Linked DNA regions of Alligator mississippiensis. The protein of the gene in region 2 binds, or shares a complex with, the protein of the main gene of each other region. Links are inferred from orthologs where the notes say so. Each region holds a gene or a part of one and is shown on either strand. Other genes may lie near its edges. The genes, in order: CNOT11, CNOT6, CNOT2 and CNOT10.

Region 1 (6,916 bases), on a different chromosome or scaffold from region 2:
TTGAGTTGTGCCATTATGTTAATTCAATTGAATCAAATACTTCCGTGATACAGGTCAACACTGAAAACAGGCTCTTAAAACAGTTGTAGGATGAAATTAGTGAACAGGCAATGTTTTTATTCTGGTTTTGAGCATGTCCATTAGTCTGGATTTAAAATCACAATGGCTTATCATTCCTAATGGCTTATCACTAGCCTAAACAACAGAGTTATTCATTGCAATACCTGTAGTTTCATATATTAAACCGGGGGAGGGGGGGGGAAGAGGTGTGCTAATAACGCTCAACACCCTCTTTTTATTCCTAAAACAGGGACTATCATCTTTGAAGAGGACCTCAATTGTGCTCTGAAAACTAAAATGGCTTGCATTACTAATGAATTGTATGTAGTTTTCAGTGGAAAACCTGGTAGCTTTGGTGGCCTAGAAACCATTTGAAGTAAATTAAGAATATGAAAAACATTTTATGACCCTATTACAAATATTCCTTACCGAAGGGCATGCTAACCAGACAGCACTCCCAGTAGTCGCACAGATCACTGCTGTAGTGGTAAGCAACCTGAAATTAATTTGTGAAGTCTGTAGCTGGGGAGGGATGCAACACAGGAAATTCACATGCCCTCTGAAAAGCAGCGCTCTCCACTGACTGCCACAGCACAGACTTACCATTGGCAGGGTCAGGCAACAGCTGCAAAATTGTTATGAATAGTTTTCATACAACGCATTATATGTGGTTAAGCATCCTAATCATTTTGAAAAAAAAAGCATTTTCTGAAATAAATCTGTGTTAGGCAATGGATTTGTATAGGATGGTTTGGATAAGGATGATCCTGCCTCAGGCAAAGGTTTAGACTAGATGACCTCCAGAGGTCCCTTTTCCAGCCCTACATTTTTTATTTCTATGAAACAGCTCATTTATGTATTAAAAGCATACTGTTAAAAAAAAATACATTTGTTCATTCAAGAGCTGAAGACAGGTTACTTAGCCAGTAAAAAAACAGCAATATTTAAAACTATCACTGGTGTAGGCAGGCTTGAGCCCCTGAAATGGGCTTTTGGTTAACAAGCCAACCAATTATGGATTATTGGTTTGTCAAGGATTCTCAACCTGGGATGCCTTGAGATCCTTTCAAGGATGGTGCATGGTGCCCTGCAACGTCAGCACTATTAGGTTTACAAACAGTTCACAAGATAAACCCAGAGGCCACATCCCAAGTGGGAACGTGCAGTTTACAGAGCCTCAAACACTGTATGCGTGCAGTGCATGGTAATCTGCACGCCACAGAATGCAGCACAGCAGCAAAATGAGACACTGGGAAATCCTGGTACCAAAGAAAGCTGCACCAAAAAATAGTAGCGTGGCACATGTGACCTACCAGATGCTGGAGCCTGGCCAGCCAGAGCCACGCTCCAGCTGCTGGCCAAACTCTGCGTGTCGAAACTGCTGCTGCTGGAGCTCCCCCCCCCCCAGCACCCCAGGTAAGGCTGCTGGGGCCAGACCCAGCTTCCCCTACCGCACCTGGGGCAATTTGCTGTGAGTCCAGGGGCGTGCCAGGGGACAACCAGCAGTAGCAATGCTGCTATTGGTCCCTGGGGAAATGCACATTCTTGCTCATGGAGACATGCCCATAAATTTCAAATAGAAACCCGTAACTGTGGTGCTTCTCAGCTCAATACAATACTTGTAATCCCAGTGGGAATCAGTGGCTGAAGAGCTGAGGGGGAGGAGAGGGGAGGGGGGGGATGGGTGCCAGGACCATCCCCAGTCCCAGAGAAAACAGGCGGTGGCTGTAGCTGGGGGAGACAGGGACTGCTAGGGGTGGGGGTTGGGACCAGCAACAGGCAGCACTAGAGCAGGGGATAGGGTGCTGGGGCTGAGCCCAGTCCTAGGAGGGAATGCCAGGGCCTGCCCCACTCCCAGTCTGGGAGGAGAAAGGTGGTGCTAGAGCAGGGGGAAGAGGGGGATGGGGCCGGTCCTGGTCCCACTGAGAGCAAGTGGCTGGAACACTGGGGTGGGGGGACCTTTGGGACCTGCCTGAGTCCAAGTGAGGGGCTCCGCTAGAGCAGGGGGAAGGGTGCTGAGGCAGACCCAGTGCCAGTAGGAATGTTAGCAGGGAGGGATGCTGGGACCAACCCCAAAGGGGAACAGAGCTAGAGTGGGGGGAGCTGATCCCAGTGGGAGCGAGTGGCTGGAGCATTGGGGGGGGGGGGACTGCTAAGACCATCCCCACTCCCAGAGAAGAGGGGCAGTGGCCAGGGCAGAGTGGGGGCAGTCCTGGTCCCAGTGGGAGCTAGTGCCAGTGAGGGTTGGGGCCTGCCCGAGTCCCAGGAGTGGGCAGTACTCGAGCAGCAGGAGGGTGCTGGGGCCGACCCAATCCCAGTGGGAGTGGGAATATTTATTGGGGGGGGGGATGCCAGGGCCCGCCCCCAGCCCGGGAGGAGGAAGGTGGTGCCAGAGCAGGGGGAAAAGGGGATGGGGCCGGTCCTGGTAGGCCGGTAGGTAGGCGGGTACCGGAGAGCGGGGTGCGCTCGGCCTCGCCGCCGCGCTCGGGCGCGGGGTTGAGCAGGTGCGCGAAGACGGCGGCGAAGGGGTTAGCGGCCAGCGGCTCGGTGCGGTACATCTCCCAGAGCAGGTAGAGCGCGGTGAGGCGCTGCGGCGGGCTGGGCAGCAGGTCGGGCTGCTGCAGCAGCAGCACGAGCGCCGAGCCCAGGCGGAAGTGCTCGGCCTTGCCGAAGTAGTGGTGGAAGGCGCCCGAGAGCCCCTCGAACGAGCTGCCGCCCGCCTCCTCCGACACGATGCTCAGCAGGCTCGACAGCTCCTTGGGCGACAGGCTCATCCTGCCACCGCCGCCGCTGCTGCCTGCCGCCGCCTCCCCGGGCGCCGCCTCCGCGCCCAGCTGCGAGCAGGGCGCCGGGCTGCCTCCGCCGCCGGGCATCCAGCTCCCGCGCCGCCCCGCTCCGGAGCCAGGCCGCAAAGCGGCAGCGCGACACTTCGCGATGCTGCCGTCAAGCGAGGCAGGGAGGTAACGGGCGGCAAGGGGAGGGACCAGGGCGCGTCTGTAGTACCGGAACGTGCTGCTGGCGGCATCCCCCGGGAAGCGGGGGGGAGGCGGGATTGGCTGCTCGCGTCTTCCGGAAGGAGGGGATTGGGTCGCCCAAGGAGCTGTTGGCGTCCTCCCGCAGAGGCGAGGGCGGGTGAAGATTGGCTGCCGCGGCTGTCCTTCAAGGAGCCGGGGAGCGGGCGAGGTTGGGTGGGTGGTTTCCTTTGAGGAGGCGGAGAGAGGGCCGGGATTGGCTGCTGCCGGGCTCCGGGGAGGGCGGAGATTGGCTGTTGCTCCAGGGAGGCGGGGAGCGGACGAGGATGCACGCATACGTATTTCAGGACCATATACGGGTGGTATCCCTTCAGGGAGACCAAACGAGGGCAGGGATTGGCTGTTGAGTCCTCCGGGAGGCAGAGGGAGGGCACGAATTGGCTGCTGCTGCCGCCCTTCAAGGAGCGTGGGCGATGATTGGCTCTCACTCCCTGCGGCTAAAAGGACGGTTTTGTGGGCGGTGATTTGCATCCGGGTCTGGTTCAGCCTTGTCTTAGATCTGCTCTCAGGCCTTGGCCTTCGGGCACTGGGAAGGCTCCGGGGCAGACAGGTGCAGTCCAGAGAAAACGGGCTGGGGGTGCTGTGTTGATTTAGTCCGGGGAAGAGGACACTGAGGGGATTTCACAGCAGCCTTCAACTCCCTGCAGGGGGATTCCGGGAGGCAGATCTAGGTGGGCAAAATGTGGCCCGTGGGCTGTATTCAGCTGGCTGGATCTAGCCTGTGGCTGCCTCCACCTAGGGCTGAGCCTTACCTGCTCCTGTGGGGGCAGTCTGCACCATGCTCCCCCCCCCAGCCCTGGACTGGCTACTGCAGCTTCTGGTGGGACTGTTCCCAGTGCGGTTGCAGCTGGCCGGATGCTCCTCTGCTCCCCTCACCTCTGGTGGAAGCAGCTGAGCAGAAGCTTCCCTTCTTCAAGTCAGGCAGCAGGGGCAGGAGGAGGAGTGGCTGCAGAAGGTATGGGGAGCACAAGGCCAGCTCCACTGGAAGCTGCTTGCTGGCCCAAGCTGTTCTGCTCCTCTTGCCTCTAGCTGCAGCCCTTGTCCTTGCCCCACTGCTCTGCCGGGGCAGAAAGTTTTGCTGGGTGGCTTCTGCCCTGTGTATGGAGCTCTGACTCTAGCTCCCAGCTACTTTCTACCCACCTCGCCTGTCTGCAGATGGCTGCTCACCACCACAACTCTACACCTAGGCAGGAGCCATCCAGCTGAAGCTTCCCATCTGCCCAGAGCAGCGAAGCAGGAGCACCAGCGTCAGCTGGAGGCAAGGGGAGCTGAGCAGGCCCCCTGGCCTGAGCCACTGCAGCCTTGCAGTGGGGCTGTTCCTGGTGTGACTACCACTGGCCAGGTGTTACTGTCCTCCCCTTGTTTCCTGGTGACAATGCAGTCCTGACTGGCTGTAGCCATGCTGGGAGCAGCACCCGCTAGAACCTGCATACTGGCTGGGGCCCGGGTCAGGGCTGGGGCTGATAGGTGTGGGTGGGAGTACAAGCTCTGCTGCATATGCCCTCCCCCTCCCTTTGTCCCTGGCTGGCTCCCATGCAGCCCCACACACACACATACACAAGCCCCCTCTGTATACCCCCCCCCCTTCCATCACAACAAGTCAGTGTGTGCAGGGAGTGGATCATGCCTGCCCCACTCCCGAACACTGCTCCCCACCCACCCAGAGCCCCATAGGGAGTTTTGGTGAGTTGGGGAGGGGGGTGCTGACCTGGTCCAACAGCTCATCAAAACTTCCTGTGTGGCCCTCAGGCCCAAATAATTGTCCATCCTGAGCTAGAGCCTGGAGCTAGAGCTGTTCTCAGTGGTGGCAGACAACAGAACAAGGAGCAGTGGTATCAAGTTACAGTGAGGGAAGTTTAGGTTAGAGACAAGAAAAAACCCTCTCAAGGATGGTAGTAAAGCATTGGAACAGACTGCCCAGAGATGCAGTGGAATCTCCATCCGTAGATATTTTTAAGGTCCCCCAGATAGAGTTTTGAATGGGATGATCTAGTTGGGGATGGTCCTGCTTTGAGCAGGGGTCAGATTGGATGACCTCCCTTCTCGCCCTGGTGTGCTATCATTCTGTGATCGTGTCCTGGTCCAAAATGGTCCTGAAACATGAGCTTCAGCTGTGGGAAGCACAAGCATGAAGGCTAGCAAGTTGGGAGGAGATGAGCTAATCATTGATTTGGCTTTCCTTTATTGAAGACCAGGCCTGTATCTAACACCTTCAGTTGGTGGAGATTCCCTCTGAAGACAAGAAAGAAGGGGTTTGCAGGCAGTTGCTTTGTGGCAGACATGGACTCTGTATTTTAAAAAGTCTGTGGAAAAATTAAGATACAGAGGTGGGTAGCAAAGATGATCAAGGGCTTAGAAGGCAAGATATATGAGCAGAGGAGAGGCTGAAGAAGCTTGGCATGCTCAGCTTGTGGAAAAGGTGCTGAAGATGGGACATGGTAGTGGTCTTCACATGCTTGAAGTGCTGCCACAAAGAAGAGGGAAAGCACCTTTTTTATCTTGCAGAGAGGAGGACATGGACCAAGGGCTTGAAGTTGCAGCAAAGTAAGTTTCGATTGAATATCTGGAAAAACTTCTTCACTTAGAACTGTGAGGCAGTGCCTAGGGAAGTTGTGTACTCTCCATCACTGGAGGTGTTCAAGAAGAGGCTGGACAGTCACTGGTTGCAAATAATCTAGGGGTAGCTGTGCCTTTGCTCTACTATAGATATTTCCCAGGCTTCTGGGCTTTGCTGGTTGCCCCTGTCCCCTCCCCCCTTTTCTGTTCCATGGGTCAGGGTGTTTCTATGCCTCCCTCAGAGGCATTGGGTATTGACTACAGCCAGGGCTGGAGACTTGAACTGAGGTATGCCCATGCTTCTGCTGGGACCAAAGGCAGAGGAACTTAGCTAGAGGATCTTGTCCCTGCACTCAGGGTCAGACTGATCTCCACATTTGTGGTCAGGAAGGAATTTTACCCCATGGTGTGGACTACCCCAGACCTCTTGAGCATATACTGACAACATTTCACAGAAGCAGGATGTTGGCTGCTGTGGTTCCCGTGCTTTACCTGTGGCAGGTTAGCGTGTTAGGTCTATGTTGTGTCTGGGTTTATGGTAGTCTTAAGTAGAATTTAGATTATGGATTTATAGGATAGTTTGTATAGGGATGATCCTGCCTTAGGCAGGGGGTTGAACTAGATGACCTCTGGAGGTCCCTACTTTTCCGTAGTTTAATTGTTTTGCCCTGCTTCCAGGGGAAACCCAAATAGGATATGCATGCAGTGATGGCTTGCCATCAAAGGAAAGACTTAAATATGTTTCTTTGAGTTATCTGTAATACTTGCTAACCACTGCATGTTCTTGGTAATAAATTGCCACCAAATCCTGTAAATGGTAAAAGTACACCAATATATCGGTTGCCTATTGGATCGACACTGATAAAAGGGAAATTTACATCATTGGCTTTTTTTGATCGTTGTAGCTGATTTTAAGGCTTTCCTATAATTTATATCTTCTGGCCAGGGCTCACAGATGCCTGGGTTCCCTCCCATGAGCTAGGGTGATCCTGGATACACTCCCATCCCCTAAATTTATTAGGGGAGGTCAACAGGGGAATAGGGGAAGCGCTGTTTACTAGGGTGCCCAAGGGAGTGACTAGGAATAATGGGTGTAAACTAGTTGGGAGTGGATTTAGGTTAGATTTTAGCAAGAAATTTTTCACAGTAAGGGTGGCCAGGATCTGGAATGGGCTTCCAAGAGAGGTGGTGCTATCACCTAGCTTGGAGGTCTTTAGGAGGAGGCTAGATAGTCACCTGGCTGGGGTCATCTGACCTCGGTCCTCTTT
Region 2 (7,210 bases):
TGGTGTATGCTACATCTACACTGGGGGGAGGGGGCATGCTGCTGACATAGCTATCCCAGCGTAACTAAAGCAACAGGAGCTTCGTAGTATAGACAAGCCCTAGACTAATTGCTTTGATGCTGTAGTATCAGATGTACTAGAAAGCATCAGCAATTAAATGCTCCTACAGACAATGGCCTAATTCAACCATGAATCACTCTCAAAGCAAGCTCCATCCTGTGCACTAAGAAGTAGGAGTACTACAAAAATGTAATATACAACTAGGCTTGGCAGAATTTTTTTATGATTTTGATGGATAGCATCAATGTTTATTTTCAAGCATTTGCTTCAATTTTTATCTATTTAAATTTTCAGGACCATGAGAAATTAGGGATGTGGGGAACAGACAATTTATTAATGGCAGTATACTATTATTATAGTGCGATTTACCTGCCCACCACAACAAACATTACTGTAGGACTGTTCTCTGCTGAATAACAGAGCTACCATCAGTCCTGGCTTGGCTTGCCTGTAGCTCCCTTGTCTGCTTTGTCACTTCCTCTTCCTTTGCTCCCAGTCCCCTGGGGTTTCTGGGAGTTACAGTCCAAATGAGTCAGAAGTGTTGTAGGACTGCTCACCCTGTTGTCTCACACACCATCAGCCAGCATTTTCCTTATGTCCCCCTTCTATAAATTTTGATTATTAACAATGGAAATATTCTTTCATCAGCGTGCAAGAAGTGAAATCAACTTTTATCAAGGTTTATCATTAAAAATCAAATCCCACCAAGCCTATACACAACTGAACCCTAAATAAGTAATCTGAATTCTGGCAGTAAGTCTTGAGACTTGACTTCACAAAAATCAATGGAACACACTTTTGTTTGTTTGTTTTTAATAATTTGATGCAATTCACAGCATTTGCAAATGAGCAAAATGAAAGTTTTAATCATGCAGAATCATATTGACAAGGCCTTAACTTGGATCATTAGCAGGGTTGGGACTAGTTCCATAACTCGGGTATCTGCCAGTTGTGCTAACAAAGTAACCAGAAGCAACAGAAGGCTGTTATCCTCTAGGTCAGGGGTAGGCAATTATTTCAGCTGGAGGGCCGCTTAATGAGTTCTAGCAAGCTGTCAAGGGCTGCAAGAGTAGCCTCACCCCTTGACAATGAGCACCCCGAGGGCTTGCCACCTAATACTGCTAGCAGTGGGGGCAGGCATGGGAAGGGGGCACCTGGAGAGGTCCCCACGCCCTCCCACCCTCACCCATACCCTATCCACCCAAGTTCCTGCTGCCTGCTGGGTGCAGGCTCCACACTCCTGCCAGCTCCAGCCCCATGCTCCCACTGAGCTGCAGCTTTCCTCTGCCCACTGCTGCTTCCCTACCTGTTCCGTGGTGCAAGTGCTGCAGCAGGGATACGAGAAGTTGCTGGAGGCCGGGGAAGCCAAGCAGGTCCCCCGGTGGCTGCAGCACTGGCCCTGCCTAGAAGTTGTGCGAGCTGGCCAGGGCCAGGGCCCTCCTAGGCATGAGAATGGGGGTGAACCATGTGGGCTGGGTGGGGTACAATTGCTGGGTAGCCATGGACTGGATGGTGGGTCAGGTCTGGCTGGCAGGCTGCATTTTGCCCACCTCTGCTCTATGTGGACCTGCCACTAGAGGGTGATGAAACATACATTCAGCCAGTGGGTTTCACAGCCATCTACTTAACTGCAAAGGACTCTGGGGGTCCAATCCAGTTTGTGCACAAAAATACACTACAGTGGTTACAAATGATCTTGTGCTCACCCCCACCCTCCAGTTTCCCACAAGCCTTTCCAGGGTCCTTATCTTCTCTGCTCCTGCTTATTCCCCCTTTCCTTCCCCACCCCACTCATTACTCTGCATTCCAGTCAAGCTGCTCCTCCTCTCCCTCCACGCTGACTGGGCACCAACGAGTCATCTGCAGGAGACTGCAGACCATGCAGCCTCAGCCAGAGCATGCTCCCACACTCTTGCTGGATGGTGCTCATGCAATCCAGTTCGTATACAGGAGCTGTGAAGGGCTGGAGCCTGCTCACCAATTCATGGATTGTTAAGGGCTGGAAGGGACCTTGCAAGATCATCAGGTCCAGCCCCCTGTACTAGGTAAGAAAGATAACTGGGGGTCAGGTGACCCCAGCAAGGTGACTGTGCAGGTTCCTCTTGAAGATTTCCAGGGTAGGTGATTGCACCACCTCTGGAGGGAGTTTATTCCACTGTCTGGATACCCTAACTGTGAAGAAGTTTTTCCTAGTGTTAAGCCTGAAACAGTCTTCCAGGAGTTTGTGGCCATTACTCCTGGTTCTCCCCAAGGGTGCCCTGGTGAACAGTTGCTTGCCGAGCCCTCAACGTACTCCCCTGATGTAGCAGTAAGCTGCTACAAGGTCCCCTCTTAGCCTTCTCTTTTATAGGCTGAAGAGGCCCAAGTCCCTCAGCCTTTCCTCATGTGGCTTGCCTTGCAAGCCTCTGATTGTATGGCTGGCTCGTCTCTGGAGTCTCTCTCTCAAGCTTTTCCACATCCTCGTTGAAGTGCGGCACCCAGAACTGGACGCAGTACTCCAGCTGCGGTCTCGCCAATGCCGCGGAAAGCGGAAAAATCACTTCCTCGGTTTTGCTGGAGATGCATAGATCGATGCACGCCAGAGTATTATCTGCCCTACTGGCTACAGCATCGCGCTGACGGCTCATGTTCGTACTATGGTCTGTTATTACCCCCAGCTCCCTTTCAGTCGTTTGGCGTCACCGAGCCTGCCGGTGTGTTGGGGGGCTGTTCGTCCCCAGGTGGATCCAGCACTTTACACTTCTCGGTGTTGAATTTCATCTGGCTCCGATCCGCCCAATGGTAGATGCTGAAGAATTCGGAAGCCAAACGAGTTTCCCCTGCGCACCTGGAAACACGTTTTCACAGGCTTATACCTAGACCAAATTTGAGAGTTTACTCAGGGGAAAAGCAAAGGTAACCAAAGGCACCCTCCATGTCACGTCTCTTGCATGGCCTCCAATCACCAAAGCATTGAAGCTTCGCAAGAACAGCCGTACGAATTTTTCAGTGTGGACCGATTTCCCCCCTCCTTAACCTGACTGAACCGTTTGCACTGACACTTATCAAAACCCATTTTTAGCCTGTAACGGACGCCCAGCATGACGCACGTCAGCTCGAACGGTTACAACGCGCCGAGTTAAAAACAGGATCTTATAACGGCGTTGGACAGCCTCGAGTACAGACAGTGAGCGCTCGTTTCTTTTTGAGAAGAGCTCCTCGTAATGAAGGAGAACAGAACATCTGCGAACTTCTTGCTTAAACACGACGATTAACTCTCGCCTTAATGCAGGGTGGGCAAAACGCGATCCCGGGGGCCGGATGCGGCCCGCCAGCCCAGTCTATCCAGCCCGCGGGCCCCTAAAAAATATAGAAAATTAATATCGACCTGCCCCCGGCTGCCCGTCACGCGGGACCTCGACGGCTTGCTAAAAATCGGTAAGCAGCCCCCCGCCCAAAATAACTGCCTGCCCCGGCCTTAACCGGACCCGGGCACATCTCAACGGGCCCAAGCGGACGGCGCGCCGCATCCCGACCGCCCCAGACGCACGGGCGAGGTCGCGAGCAAGTGACAGACAGATGGACGGACAGGTCCACCTTCCCACGGGCAAATTTAAACGCTGCGGTTTTAAGAGGCATGATGGAAAGTTTCAGCCAGAAGATGTACATACACGACGCCTTCTCTCTCTCTCTCTATGGAAATATATTTTAATAATAATAATAATTAAAAGAAAGGTCTCCCTTCCCCGCCGCGGCGCACAGGAGACGGAGCGAGGGTGCCCCAGTCAAGGAGATAGCTAACCCCTCTTCACACCAGCGCGCTGCAGGGACGAGGGAGGCCGGCACCGGGGGGAGGACGAGTAAGACTCGGAGCAAAGCGTGGGGCTGGCCGGGCCGATGCCCCCCACCGCCGGCAGAGCCCCGCAGACCTCCCCGCGCGCTCCCTCCTGCAGCTCCCCGACACGTACCTCCACTTCGCTGCGCCGCGCCACCAGGCCTGACACCGCCTGAGGAGCCCAACGGCCGCAACGGTCGCGGCGGCGTCACGTGGGTCGCGCTGGCCAATGGCGCGCGGGCGGGGGCGGGGCCACGGGGCGGGGGGAGGGGGTGCGGGGGGCGCCCGCAGCCGCCGCCATGATGCTTGTTTGCTTTCAATGAGTGTGAGGAGGAGGAGGCGGAGGCTGGGGGGAGCCGCTCTCCCGTCCGGCCCGCGGCAGGAAACAAAGAGCCAGGCAGGCGGCGGAGCGAGGGCGGCGGGGGGACGGGGATGCTGCAGCCACAGGTACGGGCGGGAGCCGGGGGGGGGGCCGCGCCCCCCACCCCGTGGGAGGGGGCGGCCCTCATGGAGGGGGGGGAGGGGCGATGTATTTATCGCCGTCCTGAGCTTGGATATTGGGGTGCGATGGCGGGGTGCTGACCCGGTGGCGAAGGCAGCTAGGCGAGGGGGGGGGCACACTGATGAGAAACGGGGTGCAGGGGGGGGGGTGCCTGTGGGGACACGCCACGACCCGGGGAAATGACATCCGTCTGCTAATTGTCCCTCTCCCAGATTGCCCCCCGACAGCTGGAAAAAGGATGCATCTTTTAAAAATATATATCTGTTTATGTATGTATGTATGAGCTAGAGGCGAGGAGTGAACAAAACCGGGGCCTCGACGGGAACTGTCTCCTGCCCCGGGAGAAGCTTGCACTGGCGCTGGCTGCTGGAGCCGAGGCCTAGCTGGCGAGGAGGAGGAGGAGGAGAAGGCCACAGCAGCGACCGCCAGTGCTTTCTGCCTGGGTGAGAAATAGAAAGGGAGAGCGGTGGTGAGCGGGAGTGACGGCGCTGCCGTCCAATGCAGGCAGCCGGGGGGGCGGGCTCGCGGTGACACGCAGGTAAGCGACTGGGCCGCCGAGACCGGGGGACACACGCATGCAGGGATAAACAGAGAGGGATCCGGACGTGCGGCCCTTGGGCTCCTGCCAAAAAAACAACTTTGTTCGGTGCGTCTCGGGCAGGGCGGCGTGCGCCTCTTTGGGAGCGGGAGCGATGTCGGGCGCTCTGCTCCGTCCGGGGACGAAGCTCGCGTGCCTCTGGTTACTCCCGTAATTGAGAAGTTGCGGGGAGGGAGGGGATTGCCGTCCTTTGTCACACGCTGGCACAAATGAGCGGTGCGTAAGCACTTCTGAACTGGGTACGAGACCTAGTGTTTTTATGCTTTTTTTTTAAAGCCTTTTTAAAAGCCCGATACAGTAGTTGCTGTACATCCAGCTACCTGGGTTTGAAGCTTTTAAAGGCTAGTTTGGCCTCGCACTTAAAAGCCTGTTTCTTCAAAATCTACCTGATTCTTATAGGTTACCTGACCTATAATGTTTACAGGAATTGTAATCCCTAAGTGAAATGCATTATTCTTTCAATATGAGAAGTATGTATAAAGCAAACTTAGGTGTTTTTGTGTAATAATCTAAAGGTGGAAAATTAGTTTCATGTCACTTTTAGGCAAATATATACTTTATAATCATGGTTGAAGCTCTTTGGTTACCATATTTCAGGGAGTTATTTTATTTAACAGGATTTCACTGTGATAGATGACAGTTGCACAAAGTTCAAGGGATTGAGGAATACCTGTGGTAATTGTTACTTGCAAAGGTTTGCAAGCATTGACTGGTAATTGTATTGTATCTTGCATTTTTTTTTCATCCTAGAGCAGGTCTCGTAATTGGGAATTTATCAACATTTCCACTGAGGTAATTTTACAGGATTATCCACCCTGTGTTCTTCCTGCTGGTTCATCTGGACTCTGGAGTTTGCAGCTAGCAATGAAGCCTTCTGTGGGGGTTTATTCACGCTGTTACTGAAATGGAGCCATTCACATTTGGATTAACTCTTTATTTACTTTTCACCTGAAACACTTGGATCTGTCCATATGCACAAAGGAGACTACCATGCATCTCTATTGTGTTGCATATTGAAGTTGAACTCTGGGTGCAGTCTTGATGTGTTCAGGCTGGTTGTTTTGCTTGAATTTTAGAGGAAGAACTGAAATATAGATGAGACTATAATACTGCATGGGCAGGTAACTATTTTTGACACATGCAGATCTCTTTATTAAAGAAAAAGTATGTAGTGCCCTTGAGTTTGAAGTGGAGGAAAAACCACTAAGACCAGGCTATTCCAGAGATGAGCAAGAAAAGAGCTGTTTTAGTAACCTGGTACATGGTTTTGTTTGGAGAAAGTCCCCTTGAAAAATGGAAGGAACACTTCCAAGGCTGGCTGAAACAAGATTCACAAGTCTTTCACTTCAACAGAAAGCATCCTTCTCATAAAATAAACAGAATATAGAAAAAATTGCAGCTACACAGCATAGGACCAAACCTAAGAAGGCCAAGGCTTTTTGTGCATAGTACAAAGTGCATTATTTATTATTTGTATTACTCTGGTGCCTAGACGCCACAGTCATGGGCCAGAAGCCTGTTGTTCTGTGCTAATAGAACAAAGATAGTCCCTCCCCTAAAGCCCATTTCCTCTGTTTTCTCTTCCAGCAGAATGCTGAAGTCAACAAGTATTCTGTTTTTCATCCTGTCATGTAATCTTGGATGCGTGTGAGAATTGAATAGCTTGTAACATGGCAGCCTTGGTTCAGATGAAGCCAAAAACCATGGATTTTGTATGTGTTGTATATCAGATACATCATGATCAGATCAGGCACAAGATACATAAAGACATATGCTCCTAATCAGTATTCTTACTAGCCTCTTTTGAGAAGTAAATATGTGAAGGAAGGCTCCTTTTTATTGTTAGTGTCTAAGCATACATCAGATATTAGCTATTGCTCTTTCCATAAACTTTTTGTTGAGCAGAAAAAGAGTGCAATTACATAGTGTCATGTTGAAAAGAAAATAATATAAAGCTTAACACCTAATAAGAATATCCATGTATTTAAGGCAGCAGACTGAGCTGCAGTATCTGGATTTTTTCCTAATTCTAATATAGTCATTCCTAATTCTAATGTAGACAGTTTAATATAGGCACTGCCCTAGGTCAAACAGCACATCTTGTTCTTTAATCTATATATTGATAATTATACATCCTACAAGGATGTGTGTACACTAAATTTATTAATCCTTGCCAAATATTGACATGACAGATGCTATGTACTTTTTGGAAGTCTTATACTAAATTATTCAGAGT
Region 3 (7,329 bases), on a different chromosome or scaffold from region 2:
TCCAACCTGTTTGCATGTCCTTCTGTCACTGTCTATATCTGAGGCCAAGGATAGCCATACAGATTTTTCCACGTAGAATGATACGGTTGAGCAGCATGGTAAATGGGATGCATAGGCCTAGCTGAACCATGGTTGTACAATGAAAACTCAAATGAGTGCCACATTTTTCCAAACCATGTTGGGGGCTTGTTCTTGATAGTTCCTTCCCAGAAATAGAACTCCTTCCTGTTCTGGCCTGTCACAGCCTGAGCCTGGATGTTTCTTCCAAAAATATTGTAAACCCTTTTTGATTTGGGCAGGCCTTTTGCTGGCAGGGTTGAGTTTTGGATCATTTTATGGAGCGTTTGTTCTAATACATATTACTTTTGTTTAATATTTTAATCTGTCTTTATAATTTATCTGGGTCTTTATTGTAAGTCACCCTAAGCCTGTCTTTGGGAGAGCAGCATATACATAAATAGACATTCAGGCCCTGATTTGACAATCGTGGATCTGCGTCTTCACAGAGCCAAGGGCAGGAGAAGTTTTCTATTAATGCTGCTCTTCTTGTTTATACTTAGGTGTGTCAGCAATTTAACTAAATTTGGTTTACTAAAATGTGTTTAAAATTTGCCATGTCTATTTAGTTTGTAAAATAGGCTACTCTTCAAACTACAGTAAAGTGTGTCTACATACAAATTTGAATCAGTCTACCTTAAATAGGTTAGAAACACACACACTGAACCAAATCAGTATGCCTTTGCTTGGAGACAAAGCCTTACACGTGCAAGCTAAATGGTAAACCAGGCTTCAGTTGAATTAGAAATGTCTACACATGGGTTTGCACTCATCTAACATGGTTTAAAATGCATGCCTAGTTAATAAAATGCTACTTAGTAACAGAACAGACTTCAGCCTTGAAGAAAAATGTACTTAGCCAATAGCAGAAGTTGCAAATAGGCGAACTCACTACATTAATCACAGTCTGTTGTTATCTATTTATCAACTTCAAAGTCTTTTTAAATTGCTGACAACTTTCCTGTTCTCTAAAACAAAACAAACCAAAAAAGAAGTCAAATACACATATTAATTGTAATGGTAATGGTCTACAATGAAAGATAGGAAGTCAGGGAACATAGCAGTTAAGGTTTTTAGATTAACATTAATTTACACACATTGGGACTGATTAGGCTACTTAACAAGTAGTATCTGTAGAACAAAGAAATTATTTTCTGTGATAAAACTGAATGTTTGTGCTTCCTTCCTGAATGTTGTTGAAATATGTAACCTAAATGTTGTACAAGTACATACCATTTTACACTTGAACCCAAATTTTGTAATGGATGCAGGGACCAGCCCAGAAAGAGGTAAATATAAAATTGGATGCTTAGTTTACATGCGTCACACTAGTGGATATCATATCTTTACATCAATTTTCTTTTTGTGGAAATTTAACTAAAACAATGCTTGTGAAAAGTAAGCAGAATGGGGAGAAGTCTAAACTCAAATTTAACAGAATAAATCTCAGGGTGTAAAAGGCCAAAAATTCTCTTTAATAATTTTGCAGCTGTGTAGACCAGGGGTTCCCAAACTGTGGTACATATACCCCCGGAGGTATGCAAGACATCTCTGGGGGTATGCGGGAGAAATTGTGAACTGGTGGATTTAATTTTCATTATAATCATAATTGGTATTTAAGGGTTTAAAATATAAAACAGATGCTGGTAAGGGTACATGGGTAGCTGGTAAATCTGGAAGGGGGCACACAATACGAAAAAGTTCGGGAACCTCTGGAGTAGATTAAGAAGATTCATGTATTGCTCTTAGTCTAAAAACAGAAGTCCACATTTTTTCATAAAAGGTGTCTAAAAGATTCTTATTTTTTTCCCTTTTTAATTTTTTTCTTTAAACAAACAAATAATAAACCTCCAAGCCTTGAAGGTACATTTTTGCTATTTTATTTATTTTTAGGAACTGCATAATTTTTTAAACAGAAAAAAGAACTATGATAGCTTGTTCTGACTTATGCTTGTAAGATCAGAAAAAACAGTTCTGATCAAATTGAATGGAGGCCTTAAACCAGGTTGTATAGTTATAGTAAAAAGGTGTCATTAAAGAAACATTGTGTATTATTTTGCCCTCAAATATTAAATTTCTATTTACACATTAAAATGTTTGTTTATAAGGTAGAGTTTTGGGTAACCTGCCCTCAATAAGGTTTCTTAGCTGGAACAGGCAGGAAGCAGGGTAGGGTGGCAGTTTAGAGATTATTAATTAATTCAGAAAGGAAAGCTTCTGCAGGTGAAATCTACTTTAGGGGTGTCAACCTCCTGCCTGCAAGCCAAATCTAGGCCATGGAGCCATGGCATCTGGCTTACAGAGTTCCCCATGGATTGGGAAATTTGGTGGTAGGAAAGGATAGCTACACCTTTCCGCTGCTGCCAAATTTTCAAGCCCCACATATCTGGATGCAGGCCCAGCCAGGTCAGTCTGTTGCCATGTAGACGGACATGGGTCCCCCCACCCAGGTTGCTGGATCCAGCCAGAATGGACCTGGGCTGTTGGGGTGGTCCATGGGCCGGATGGGCCCTTGCTGCGTCTGCTCCATGCTCTGGATTGTGCTTGCTGTCTGGATCCAGCCTGCAATCAGACCTTGCACTGCTCATCCAGCCCCTAGTCTACTTAATTGGAAACACAATAGTTTATGTGTTTTTGAATCAGTTAAGTCTCCAAATTGCTACCCTGTCCCACTTTCTGCCAGACTTTAGACTAGCACGGCTAACTACCTTTCTATACTGTTAGCTGGAACAGTAAGACAATTTTGAAACTGTAAGAATCAAACCTGCCTGAGTAAATGACAAAGTATGAAGCCTCTTTTATTACTGGAAAAAAAAAAACATTAAAAAAATCAGCCATTAGTGCCTTTTTTCCTCGTGTTATTTCTTAATGCAGCTACTTCAGATTAAAAAATTATGACAATTAAAATAACAATAGTCTATGAGTTTTATTCTTTTTGTTTTAAAGGATGGGGAAGTTCAGCTATTATCAGGTAAGCCTTATGTGCCGACTTAAGCACCATTGTAGCCCCACGGAAGTTAGCATGAATATTCACACTAGTTATGTCTAACCTAGTGGTGGGCAACCTTTTTAGACCGGAGACACCCTTTGATAAACTCAAGGCACCTTCAGAAAATATCGGCTCCTAGTTTTCAAGTGTTTCTTAATGACGGAAAAATAGTAGAGCCATTCTTCCTTTGCGAAGAACTCACAAAGACTGCAACAGTTCAGTCTTGTCGTAACACTGCCAATTCCCATTTGAAACCTCTGGGTTTACTGTGCAAGTTTGGATCTGCACGCCTCACAGTGCTAATGCTGTGTGGCACCCCGTTGCACCCTTGAAAGGATTTCAAGGTACCCCAGGGTGCTGTGGCATCCAGCTGGAGAATCACCCGTCTAACCTGTCTGGGTCTGGAGGGTTGGGCCCTTGTTATTTAAGCCAAGCTTGAAGGTTGTGATGTGAAAAACCTCCTGGGTGCCCCAGTTAAGAGAAACTACATGGTGCCCCGAAACCGCTCTGACAGCATCTGCCTCAGGTGCCGGATGGGACAAGGTGGCCAATCGGACCAGTGGCCCGGGCACGAAAAGATTTGGTTTCTGACTTAGCCAACGGGGACTGCAGGGCCGCTTTCCTGTCCCTCGTCCCATCACTGAGCAGCATCCACCGGCTCCTTGGAGTCTCTGGAGGGCCGCCGGGCACTGTCCAGTGCACTCTGCTCAGCTCCACTTTCCCAATCCCTGATTCTGAACCCATGACCTTGCTCCCTTCCCTGTTTCCTTGGCTGTTGTGTCCCAAGGAATTGGCCGTCGCTTTCTCAGGGGCCTCCCTCCTTAAGGGCGGCTGATAGTCACCCTTGATCCCCTGAAAGTAACAAACAGCCTGTCCCTGCCGCCTCCGGCCTGGGTCCCTGAGGCCCCAAAGCGGGTGGGATCGGAGCCCCCATGAGAGGAAACATGCGGCCCACCCCTGCCTTTGCCTGACCAGGGACAGGCGGCTCCACCGGCGGGGCTGCGTGTGCGTGGGGCCGGGTCACGGAGCAACTCCCCCCTCGGTGTGTGTGTGCGTGTGTCTGTGCCTGTAACAGGGCCAGGCCCGAGCCGAGTCGGGCCGGGGGCGGCAGGAGCGCACCGCACCGCAGCGCCGCGCTGCGCAGGGGGCGGAGCGCCGCCCCTCCCCCACACGGGTTGCCCGGCGGCAGCGGCGGGGTCACGGCGGCGGCGGGGTCAGAGGGTAAAGGTCGCTCCCCCAGCATCCTCCGTGCTGGGGACTCAGCCATCTTGGATCGGCGGGACAAGAAAATTCATGCGGTGAGTCCGGCCCCCCGCGCCCCCGCGGGCTCCGCGCTGCGCCCTCCCCCGCCTTGCCCTGGCCCGCGGCCACCTCCGGAGGGCCCCGCGGCCGCCCCGGCCTCGCCCGCCCGCGCCGCTGCCCCCCGCCCGGCCACGGCCCCGGGCCCAGCCGCGGCCCCGGCCCGCCGGGCTGCCGTTTGCTTTTGTCTCCGAGGGAGCGAGAGGGAAGCGGGGGGAGGCGCGCGGCGCCCGAGGCCGGCGCCCCCCGGGCCCGCTGCGCGCAGGACCAGGCCGCGGCCGCGGGGCCCGGAGGCCGCGTCGCGCTGCGCTCAGCGCCGGGCCCGGCCGCGGCCGCCGCTCCTCAGCGGGCCCAGCGCGCCCGCTGTCGCTGCCGCCACCGCCGCTGAGCCCGGCCCGGGCTGAGGAGAGGGGCCGAGCCCGGGGGACTGGGGGTGTTTTCCGGCGCTCTCCTGCTGGAGACGGGGGGCTGAGCCGCCCGTCCCGGTGTTGGGCGAACAAACTTGAGAGCGGGCCCTTCGCTTCCCTTCCCCGCAGCGGGCCGGGGACACGGGGCTTCGCCTCCCTGTGCCGGCAGCCGGGCGGGGGTAGCGGGGACTGCCAGGGGTTTGTGCTCGGGCCCTGCTTGTGGGGGTTTCTGCTGGAGGATGCCCTGACCTGCTCGCCAAACCAGCCTCGCTTAGGGAGAGGGAAAGAGAAGTCCGCCTGAAGCCACAGGTAACTTTTGGCTGAGCTCTCTTCCCTCTGGGGTAGAACTTGAGTACAGCCGTGGTGTCTTCCTCCCCCTGCACCTTCAGGGAGGTGATTGCCAATAGCAGCTTTTGACTTTAAAAAAAAAAAATTAAAAATCTATTTTGTTGGAGAAACTTAATCTCTGCCCTGCTGCTCTCCAGCTGACACTTGGCAGTGGTGTCACATTTTCACATCTGCCCGAGTGTGCATGGTGTCTTGAAGGCAACATTTGTTCATAGTCTTGATGGTGCTAAAGTCTGGTGGTGGTGGTGGTGGGTGGCTGCTGGGCTTTATTCTTCAACCAGGTGATTTAAGGGTGATTGGACTTGCTGTCATACCGGCCAATAGGAATCATGCTGCTGGGAGGGAGGGTTAAACTGTTATGGCGTATAGATCTAGAATAGTAACCAAAATGCGGCTATTTCGATTTTTATGGCAAAAGTCCTGTATTTAGGCCTAGGAAGGACTTTGTGCAAGCAGCAGTGTTCTTTGAGTCTCCTCTTAGAACGGGACATTTCATCACTGTCTGTTGTTAATAGAACAAGGTTTGCAAGATCTTGTCCTTGTTTCTCGAGTACTGGTATAACAGCATCACTGCTCGCCCGGAGAATTCCTGATGGTATGTTGTAAGCTTCCAGACTTCAAGGTACCAGTCCTTTTATTACGAGGGAATTTGAATGCTTCACATCACAAAGTAATTTGTCATTGTCTCGCAAGTGGTATTTTGGTTTCATTTTCAGGAAGTTGCACTGAAGCTAATGACGTTGTGGTGGAAAGAACGTTTTGTTTTGTGCATCCTTCTCTAAAGAGTTGTAACTACTTACTTATGAAACTCTGTGTTAGGAGAATCTGCTCCTTGTGCCTTAACTGTTAATGCTAGTCTAAAGTTATCTGAGAATTTAAGAAAGGACTTTAACAGCTGGAGTGCCCAAATTAAGATGTCATTTGGAAGGGCCCAACTTCTAAAGAACGAGTACTTGTTACTTCCTGAACATCAGATCCCATAAAAGTGTTGTCAGTTGGGCAACTTAGAGTAGCCCTAGAACCCTGCTCACATTTGGTAATGTTGGTCTTTAGCGCTAGCTCTTTGTGAAAGTTGAGAGTGCCATTTCACTGAGTTAACTGACCATAGGTCTGACATCAAAATTGTTTATTTTTCCTCCAGTCTTGCCTGTGTGTTGTCTATCTAGACAGGATTGCAGGCTTAATTTGTTACAGTTTAATTTTGTTGTAAAAATACACTTTCATCTCCTTTGGAAGTCTATTTTCAGTACTAAAGTTTGAAAAAAGTGGGTATTGTCCCTTATACTGAAAGTGTACCTTTTAAAAAAGCATTCTCCAATAGTTTTCTCACAATGTAAAATATTAAGATTAAACCCAAATTATTTATTTTTTCAGGTCAAGTCGGCAGTGTTAATGGGATTTGTACACAAATTCTACACAAGCATTCAAGGATAGAATTTGGCATTAAGCTTGTAGGATCCATATTTTTTTTATAGTGCTATGTAAATGGCTGTGATCTGATCTGTTATTATTTTGGGGAGAGGGATTTTCCTTGTGACAATCCAAAAAATTCAATGAAGAATATATGTTGGTTACTACCTTCTCCACCCCTCCCCCCATGTTGGTTTACTTCTGTTGTGTTTGTGCATATTTATAAATGTTATTCCAGACTGGAAGAACTTTTAGTTTTCCAGTGTAAGCCTGTCTAAACATGTTACACTTTGTACCAATTAACTTTTTTTTTTCTTTTTTAAGAAGTAGGTGTTTGTTCATAATTATGCAGGATCAGGTTGATATTTCTATCATTTATGCAAAAATGCAGCCACTAATATTTGCTGACAAAACCCAACAATTCAAGGTTAGGGTAACTTAGACTTGCTAGCTAATAGAAAAATAATCTTAAAATGCTTACAAAATTGTTAGGCATTTTGACTTTGATAAAATATTCTGTCTGTTTCGGTGAATATGTTTTCAATTAAAACATCTTGTTTTTTTAATATGTGTAGTACTTCAGAATGGTTTGTTTTTATTTCAGGTTCCTGTGTTAGAGGGGTGTTGTACTTTTTTTTTTTTTAAATGCCCCTAAAAAGTGACCTAAAGTGTTGCTTTGGTTAAGGTTCTGATCCTACAATTATTTATGTACACACTTAAGTAGGATTCTTCATTTGAATAGTAACTTACTGACAGATGAGCACTTGCTGAGGAATTTGCAGGAGTTAGACCTACATTTGTGTTTGTTTTATTTATTTA
Region 4 (7,555 bases), on a different chromosome or scaffold from region 2:
CTTGGGGGTTAATGGGTGAAACGCAGACCCCACCCTAGGTGCCGCTCCAGCTCCCTTTCACCAGGCCTGGCTGAGGTTGCACGTAGTGGCCTGGACTTAGTCCTCAACTGTCAATTGACCCATTTCCATTGACGTTACTGTTTTTTCTTCTTTAAGGTTTCAACCCCCATATAAGTACCACCGCTGATAGAGCTACGCTGCCGTGCATTGACAGGCTGCCTGTGTCTTTGGTTTTTCTAAGAAGTTTGTATAGCAAGTCTCTTCTCCGCTCTTCCCGATGAAATCATCATTAGTCACCAATATAATACGTGTCTGATCCGATACTTGGACTGTTCTGGTGATGTGGTCCAACAGCTGGAGTTTATCCTTTCAGCAAGTGAAGCTAGAATCTCCAAAGCTTCTTAGTTGTTAAAATCCTCCATCTACTTTTCATGGATGATTGACTTAAAACCAACTTTATTTCTTTATTCTCACAGGGTTGAGGCTAAAACATTTTACTTCTGGTTAGAAACTTGTGAGGCCAACTTGACCATAGAGAAATTCAGTGAAACAAGGGTTTATCTTAGGAACCAGTTTAGCCGTAGTTACTGTGTTACTAGAAGCGATGCTATAATCACTATGTCAGATTGCTTATTCTTTGTGAAAATGATTGGCACAGTCTCTTTCAGTTCAGACATTGCAGAAATGCGTGTGGCATGGATGAACCTTCATTGCATGGGATGATAACTGTGTTTGCATGTGGTGAAGTAGCTTTTTAGATATTAAACTCTTCATGAGGGGGAAAATCAATGCCCAGTACTTAAGATACTAAGAAAGATGTGGTTATTACTGTAACCAGTTGGCTCAAAGAGAAGTCTTACCTGATAGTCACCCATTGAGCTCGAATCCTCAACATCTTGAGTGTCTCTCTTGACTTGCTGCTTGTCGCCACTGCATACTGGCTGTTACCTATAGGTGAACCATCTGAAGGAATGGTGGCTTTCTTTCTGTACCTCTTTGTCTGCTTGGGGAACTCTGGCAGCATGGGACAAATTATGACAAGATTTAATGATCTTGTAAAGGACACATTTTCCCTGCTGGGTGCACAAAATAACTTGGTCTGTTTGTTGGAAATGGAGGATTATAATAACTAAGAAGTTTTGGAGAGTTCGGCTTCATTTGCTTAAAGAACGAGCTCCAGTGGTTGGACCAGGTCAGTGGGTGGTCCAAGCTTTGAACCAGATATGTTACATTATTTTGCTGGCCAATGGTGGCTTTGTCTGGCAGAGCAGAGAAGAGGTGTGGCAATGGATGCAAATTTATTTTGGATAAGAAATTATCCTGCTCAGTACTGATAAAAAATAATTTCCAATTGGAAGGGATGTAAAAATAGGGTTAAAAAGAAAGGTTGGGGTGGCAAATGGATACCTTTCGCATTGAAGTTGTAGCTGTTAGCTGTGGAGGAAATAGATTCTGATGCATCTCTTAACCTGAGTGGATGGCAAATGAGCAGGCGAGTCTGTGGCCTGTTTAGGCTAGGTGAGTCTTCAGGGAATCCAATCTCTAATGTAATATCAGGGGAAAGGTTTCTGTTGCATGAGGTTACATCTAAGAAGTTTTTGCTTTGATATCAAAGCTGTCTGGAGCTCAGGTTGGTCTTCTGCAGATACTTTAGTTTGTTGTGTGTTTAAAAAAAGTACTGCTTCCAGAAATGAGCTGAAATAAGTAGGAGAAATGGATCGAGGTTATGGAATGATTCAGTGGAGGACAGTTGACGTTGACTTTTCTAATTTAGATATTGTAGTGAGCAGAGTTTAGCGGTATCTGGGTCTTCCCAACAATGCAAGCTGTAAGGCTGCTGAAATGAGTTGAATAATTTCTTGATTTCTTCAATCAAGCCCAATAAAGAGGTGTTATATCCTAAGACTTCAGAGGATTACTAGGATGTTCCACAAATAGTCTAGTCACTGCCAGGGCTGCCTGCTCTTTAAGGGTATATATATTTAAAAAACACGTTCTCCTAAACCTAATCTTCTAAGTTGTTCTTGTTAACTACTTCCTAGAGAATTATTTTGCCATTAGTACAAATAAGAAGTTTTAGAATACAAAAAGGACAACCAACTATTCACTGTGTCCACAAGGGAAAAAGCCAAAAATGATGGGCTGAAGTTGCAACATGGGAGGCTTTAGGTTGGACGTTAGGAGGAACTGTCTAACTATGTGGTTGGATAAGTACAGCAACAGATTACTTTGAGAAGTTGTGGAATATCCATCACTGGAGGTTCTTAAATGCAGGTTATTTTGTTTTTCTGGTTTAGCTTCTGAGATAATTTGAGCAGGCAGTTGGATTAAATCACCTTCCAGCCTTGTTCTTCTTTGATTTATAGAATACTAACTTTCTGGCTTTTACTTGACAATCTTGTCATGCAATGTTGAGAGAATGAAGTGGGCATGCCTAATTTGGGGAAAAGAGATTAAGGGGACATGATGGCGGGTTTCAAATATTTGAAAGGTGACCATAAATGAGAACACCTGTACTCTTTTACCACAGATGACAGAATGCAAAGCAGTGGGTTTAAATTGCAGTAAAGAAAATTGAAATTAAATCTCCAGTAAAAAAACTTCCTAACTCTAAGAACTATAGAAAATGAAGCAAGCCACCTGAGAAAGATGTAGACTATCCTTCATTGGAGGTTTTCAAGAAGAAGCTGGATGGGTATCTGTATTGGAAGGTTTAGTAATACTGCATCCTATAGCTTCACAGGGGGATTGGACTAGATCAGCGGTGTCCAACCTTTTTGAATGTGGGGCCGGATTGTGAACGTTTTATCACCCAGTGGGCAGGCGAGCCAGATTCAAAGATCTTGCAGGAAGCGGTATCACATCACCTCCCCCCTGTGCGCCCCCCCCCCCCCCCCCCCAACAAAAGTACACTGTTTACTTTTGTTTCCTGTCACAGCACCTCGGGCCTCAGAAAACGGCTTGGAGGGCCGCATAGCGGGCCGTATGTTGGACAAGCCTGGACTAGATGAAACTTGAGATCCCTTCCAACTCTATGATTCTGTCTAATTTCTGTACTGTGAGCATGTGTGGTGGTTGGAAAGAAACTGTAGAAACTCTTTCAAGCTTCCTTGACTCATTTGTTGAATGGATGGTAGGACTAGCTAAGGGCTTTGGCAGATGCAGGGTTTTAGGTCTAATGCAGGGGTGCTCAACCAGATCCAACCAGCAGTGTCATGTCATTTGGTCCACACTGCTTCCTGTGTTTCTGGAAATTTGGCAGTGAGGGATCTGTGGCACCACTCCCTGCCAAATTTCCAGACCCATGGAGAGCCCTAGTCCTGCGTGCTGTATTGGGCACCTGATCCCAACACACAGGGCTGGGAAAAGGTGGCACAGGGCCCCAGGGAGGCTGGCAGGGATGTGGAACCCTAGGGCCCAGTCCTGGTACATGGGGGCCTGGAAGGGACAGCCTTAAGGCCTGATCCTAGCAGAAGAGGGTGGCACCATGTCCCAGGGTCTAATCCAGCCCCACACTGCTCATCCCGCCTGTGGGGCCAAAACTTGAGCACCACTCATGAAAGGTAAATCTAAAAAATATTACATTGAGTAGAATTCCAAGATCCCCCAGGTATTTAACTAGTCTCTTTCCTGTGTAATCTTCAGAATTGTGGCTGGTACTTAAGGTGATCTTATCATAAACTTTGTTTTTTATCTGAAGAGTTTTCTCTGTTGTGACTTTCACAGTTGGCCTCAGCTCTGGTGAGTTTCTAGTTTTTGAATTGTGGGCTCAAATTTTAAGTTAGAAATAAGATGATGTTATTGAAATGTGTCCTTCTATGTTGTAGAATCATAGAGAAGTAAGCCTGGAAGGGACCTCCAGAGGTCATCTAATCCAACCCCCTGCCTGAGGCAGGTTGGTTATCCTTATCCAAACTGTCCCATACAAACCATAATCTAAACTCTACGCAAGTCAGCCCTGAAATAATATAGACCTAACACCGTAAATTGCCACAAGTAAAGCAGGGAAGCCATTGCAGTCAGTGTCCTGCTTCTGTGAAATGTTATCAACATATGCTCAAGAGATGCCAGATAGAGGGTCAGGGTCATGCCCCTTGCTACAGAGGAAGGCAACAACCCCCATAGTTTGTAACAGTGTGACCATGGGGTAAAATTCCTTCCTGACCCCAATTCTGGCAAATTGGTCTGACCCTCGGTGAACGGACAAGGCCCTCTAGCCAGGAACCTCTGGCAGGTTCCAGCAGGAGCACTGGCACACCCCAGTCAATTAACGTGCATATACATTGGTGAACAAAAAATATTAAATATGTAACCTTAAATAGTGTCTATCTTCCTACCCATGCGATACCTTCTATCGTCCCAGCAAATGATGTACATTCATGCTAAATGTTAGCTACTGAAGATCTGTAACAGACAACCTATTCCAAACGATTTAACACTTAAGAGATACCAACCAATGAATATTTGTTTTCATCCATTTTCAGTTTAAAAGTTAACCCCTTCTAAGTTAATAATGCAAAATCTGAAATATATTTCCTGAATAGGAAAACCTATTTGAGAATAGTTCTGTGAGATGAATTTTACATTCTTTTTGGGGTTCTGATTGTATATTCAGTGCATAGCAGTGGAGCGTTTTGCTTCTATTTTTAGTCATCTTTAGCATGTACATTTGCTACATTTCTTAACATTAAGGGAACTTAGCAACTGGGGGACAAGTAGTAGCATACAGATTAAATTAGGTAGCTATGCGGAATGAGAGAGATTCCTACAATAGTTTTTACCAGCTACTGGTATCAAAATGTAAGTAAACAAAATGTACTTTTTACAATGTAAAAAAATTCTCCAGATATTTTGGGGGGAGCAACTCAAACTCCAAAGTTGTTGTACTCTCCAAATTGAATTTAGCAAAGATAGTGTTGTAGTTATGTGTAAAGGTGCCCTAAGTATTAACAAATGGATTTTGAGGGAGGGAGGAATGAAATATGTAATAAAGATACTGAATTATTTTTATTAAATTTAATTGCACATATGATGAAAGCTATCTATTTTCTCTAACCCTTTTAATTTTACAGATCAGGGAACTGAGAAACATGAAGGAGCCACTACTACTTCTGGAATTTCTGATCAGGAAAAGGAGTTGTCAAATAATGCACTACAGGCTTTTGTGGTAAGAAAAGTCTTCAGTTTAAAGATTTCTCTTATATAATTTTGTTCAACATTTACCTGTTTATTCCCATATTTCCTAGAATATTAGGACATGTACTGAGATACTAATTTTGTTTTACTTTCTAACAGCAGCATTATGAAATAATGACCATCACTTATATGAACTTTGATATCTGTTGTCAGACAATAAGAAGAAATAGAGCCCTTAGATTTAGGGTTACCTAAACAGAGAAATGCAAGCACGTTTTTGGTTTTTTTTTCTTGGTTCCCAGAGTTCAGTCATGAGCTTGGCAAAGTAAGCTTATATACGTAGTCCTGGAAACACTCAGACAGCAAGCTTTTTAATTGAATCTTTTACTCCATAGTTTGTGGGTGCACATTTCTTATTCTCTATCTCGTTTTGTGTAAGCCATTATTTTTTGGGTCATGTAGATTATCTAAATAATTTGAAATGTGTTATCTTTCATCCTCCTTGTCCATTTTGTATTATCATAAGTCAGCACTGCACAATATTTTTTCTAAGCTGTTAACATGAAATGAACAGATTTATTTGTAAGACTGGGGAATGATCAAAATATCATAACCCAGTATTAAATGTTTCCACATTCACCTGTCCTGTTTTTAATATCCCTTTTGCTCATTTGAGGCATGATCTTCACATGATGGGAAGGGGTCCTGAGGGGATACAGTGAAAGAATTTCTTACAATTATTCATACCTGAATTGACTTTGATCTCCTTTTAGTTTCATCTCCAGTTCTACAATTGGCCAAACGTACTTTGCTCATCTATGTGTGATAAGACTTTAACAATCCTCTAAGCACAAGAAAAGATAACGGGTTGTAAGGTAGTGATGAATGCAGACAAAATGAATCTAGACTCCTAGTTGTCAGTTTTCCTTTAGTATGGAGTTATGTCAGATAACCTTGTTAACAGTTTTGCCTTACTTCCAGCACTTTTTTTTCTCATTTACTGCACTTATTTTCAAGTTACTTGGTGTTGGCAGAGTGGAAGAGTAATGCAAAGTACAGTAGGAAGCAGTTAAATTAGACTTGATTTAATAAGTATTGTCCAAGGTGACCAGAACCTGTGAAGGGCTAAACCAGGGGTAGGCAACTCCTGGCACAGGTGCCAGAGCATGGCACATAAAGGCATTTTGCTTGGCTTGTGTGCCTTGGCATGGACAGTGGGGAAGGGAGCAGGGCTGTGCTGCCATAACAAGGATTGTGGGCCCCTTATGGCTCCCCCTCCACTTACCCCTGGCATGCCAACATCTTCCAAGTTAAGGTTAAAGGTGTTTTTGGCACTCTGCCCAAAAACATTACCAGTGCCTGGGTTTAGCAAGGCTTTAGATACGGTTTCCCGCAGCATTCTTGCAAGCAAGGTAAGGAAGTATGGGCTGGATAAATTGACTGTAAGGTGGATAGAAAATTGGCTGGAGCATTGGGCTCAGACAGTAGTAATCAATGGCTCGATGTCTAGCTGGCAGCTGGTATCAAGTGGAGCACCCCAGGGATTGGTCCTAGGGCTGGTTTTGTTCAACATCTTCGTAAACAACCTGGAAGATGACAAAGAGTGCACCCACCACAAATCTGCAGATGACATCGAGATGGGGGGAGTAATAATATGCTGAAGGGTAGGGCTAGGATTCAGAGTGATTTAAGCAAATTGGAAGATTGGGCCAAAAGAAATCTCATGATGTTCAACATGGGCAAGTGCAAAGTCCTGCACTTAGGATGGAACAATCCCATGTACTAGTACAGGCTGGGGGCTGACTGGCTGGGCAGCAGCTCTGCAGAAAAGGACCTGGGGGTTACAGAAGACAGTAAGCTGAATATGAGCTAACAGTGTGCCCTTGTTGCCAAAAAGGCTAACGGCTTACTGGACTCTTGGTAAATGTGTTGTCAGTAGGTCAAGAGAAGTGATTATTTCCCTCTGTTCAGCACTGGTAAGGCCACATCTGAAGTGCTGTGTTCAGTTTTGGGTCTCCACTACAGAAAGGATGTGGACAAATTGGAGAGAGTCTAGCAAAGGAACAACAATCTCAAGTTGCAGCAAGGGAAGTCTAGGTTAGATATTAGGAAGAATTTTCTCGCTAGGAGGGTAGTAAAACACTGGAACAGGTTAGCCAGAGAAGTGGTGGTAATTCCATCCTTGGAGGTTTTCAAAACCAAGCTAGATAAAGCTTTGGCTGGGTTGATCTAGTTGGGAATGGTCTTGCTTTGAGCAGGGGGTTGAACTAGATGACCTTGTGAGGTCCCTTCTAACCCTAATTTTCTAGGATTCTGATTAAACCATTCAACCTGAATTGGGACTAGGATCTGTGTGTCTGCAGCCTGAATTTAAAGGGATGCTTCTATCAATATCCTGGTTCAAGGACTAGGAAAGAGC

The links.
Region 1: CNOT6 (region 2) and CNOT11 share a complex: the UniProt entries of both Homo sapiens proteins name them as parts of the CCR4-NOT complex. The link is inferred for Alligator mississippiensis from reciprocal best matches to the Homo sapiens genes CNOT6 and CNOT11.
Region 3: CNOT6 (region 2) and CNOT2 share a complex: the UniProt entries of both Homo sapiens proteins name them as parts of the CCR4-NOT complex. The link is inferred for Alligator mississippiensis from reciprocal best matches to the Homo sapiens genes CNOT6 and CNOT2.
Region 4: CNOT6 (region 2) and CNOT10 share a complex: the UniProt entries of both Homo sapiens proteins name them as parts of the CCR4-NOT complex. The link is inferred for Alligator mississippiensis from reciprocal best matches to the Homo sapiens genes CNOT6 and CNOT10.

What each region holds. Positions count from the first base shown.
Region 1 is NC_081824.1:344,728,295-344,735,210, reverse strand, and holds the start of CNOT11 (CCR4-NOT transcription complex subunit 11), read right to left. Parts: upstream 3,011-6,916; 5' UTR 2,934-3,010; coding exon 2,510-2,933; intron 869-2,509; exon of another isoform or gene 500-868; coding exon of another isoform or gene 490-499; intron 1-489. UniProt on the Homo sapiens protein: Component of the CCR4-NOT complex which is one of the major cellular mRNA deadenylases and is linked to various cellular processes including bulk mRNA degradation, miRNA-mediated repression, translational repression during translational initiation and general transcription regulation.
Region 2 is NC_081832.1:73,962,542-73,969,751, forward strand, and holds the start of CNOT6 (CCR4-NOT transcription complex subunit 6), read left to right. Parts: upstream 1-4,200; 5' UTR 4,201-4,321; intron 4,322-7,210. UniProt on the Homo sapiens protein: Poly(A) nuclease with 3'-5' RNase activity.
Region 3 is NC_081827.1:70,446,919-70,454,247, forward strand, and holds the start of CNOT2 (CCR4-NOT transcription complex subunit 2), read left to right. Parts: upstream 1-4,307; 5' UTR 4,308-4,344; intron 4,345-4,961; exon of another isoform or gene 4,962-5,061; intron 5,062-5,615; 5' UTR 5,616-5,692; coding exon 5,693-5,722; intron 5,723-7,329. UniProt on the Homo sapiens protein: Component of the CCR4-NOT complex which is one of the major cellular mRNA deadenylases and is linked to various cellular processes including bulk mRNA degradation, miRNA-mediated repression, translational repression during translational initiation and general transcription regulation.
Region 4 is NC_081828.1:142,098,243-142,105,797, reverse strand, and holds the start of CNOT10 (CCR4-NOT transcription complex subunit 10), read left to right. Parts: upstream 1-4,537; 5' UTR 4,538-4,745; coding exon 4,746-4,800; intron 4,801-5,072; coding exon 5,073-5,167; intron 5,168-7,555. UniProt on the Homo sapiens protein: Component of the CCR4-NOT complex which is one of the major cellular mRNA deadenylases and is linked to various cellular processes including bulk mRNA degradation, miRNA-mediated repression, translational repression during translational initiation and general transcription regulation.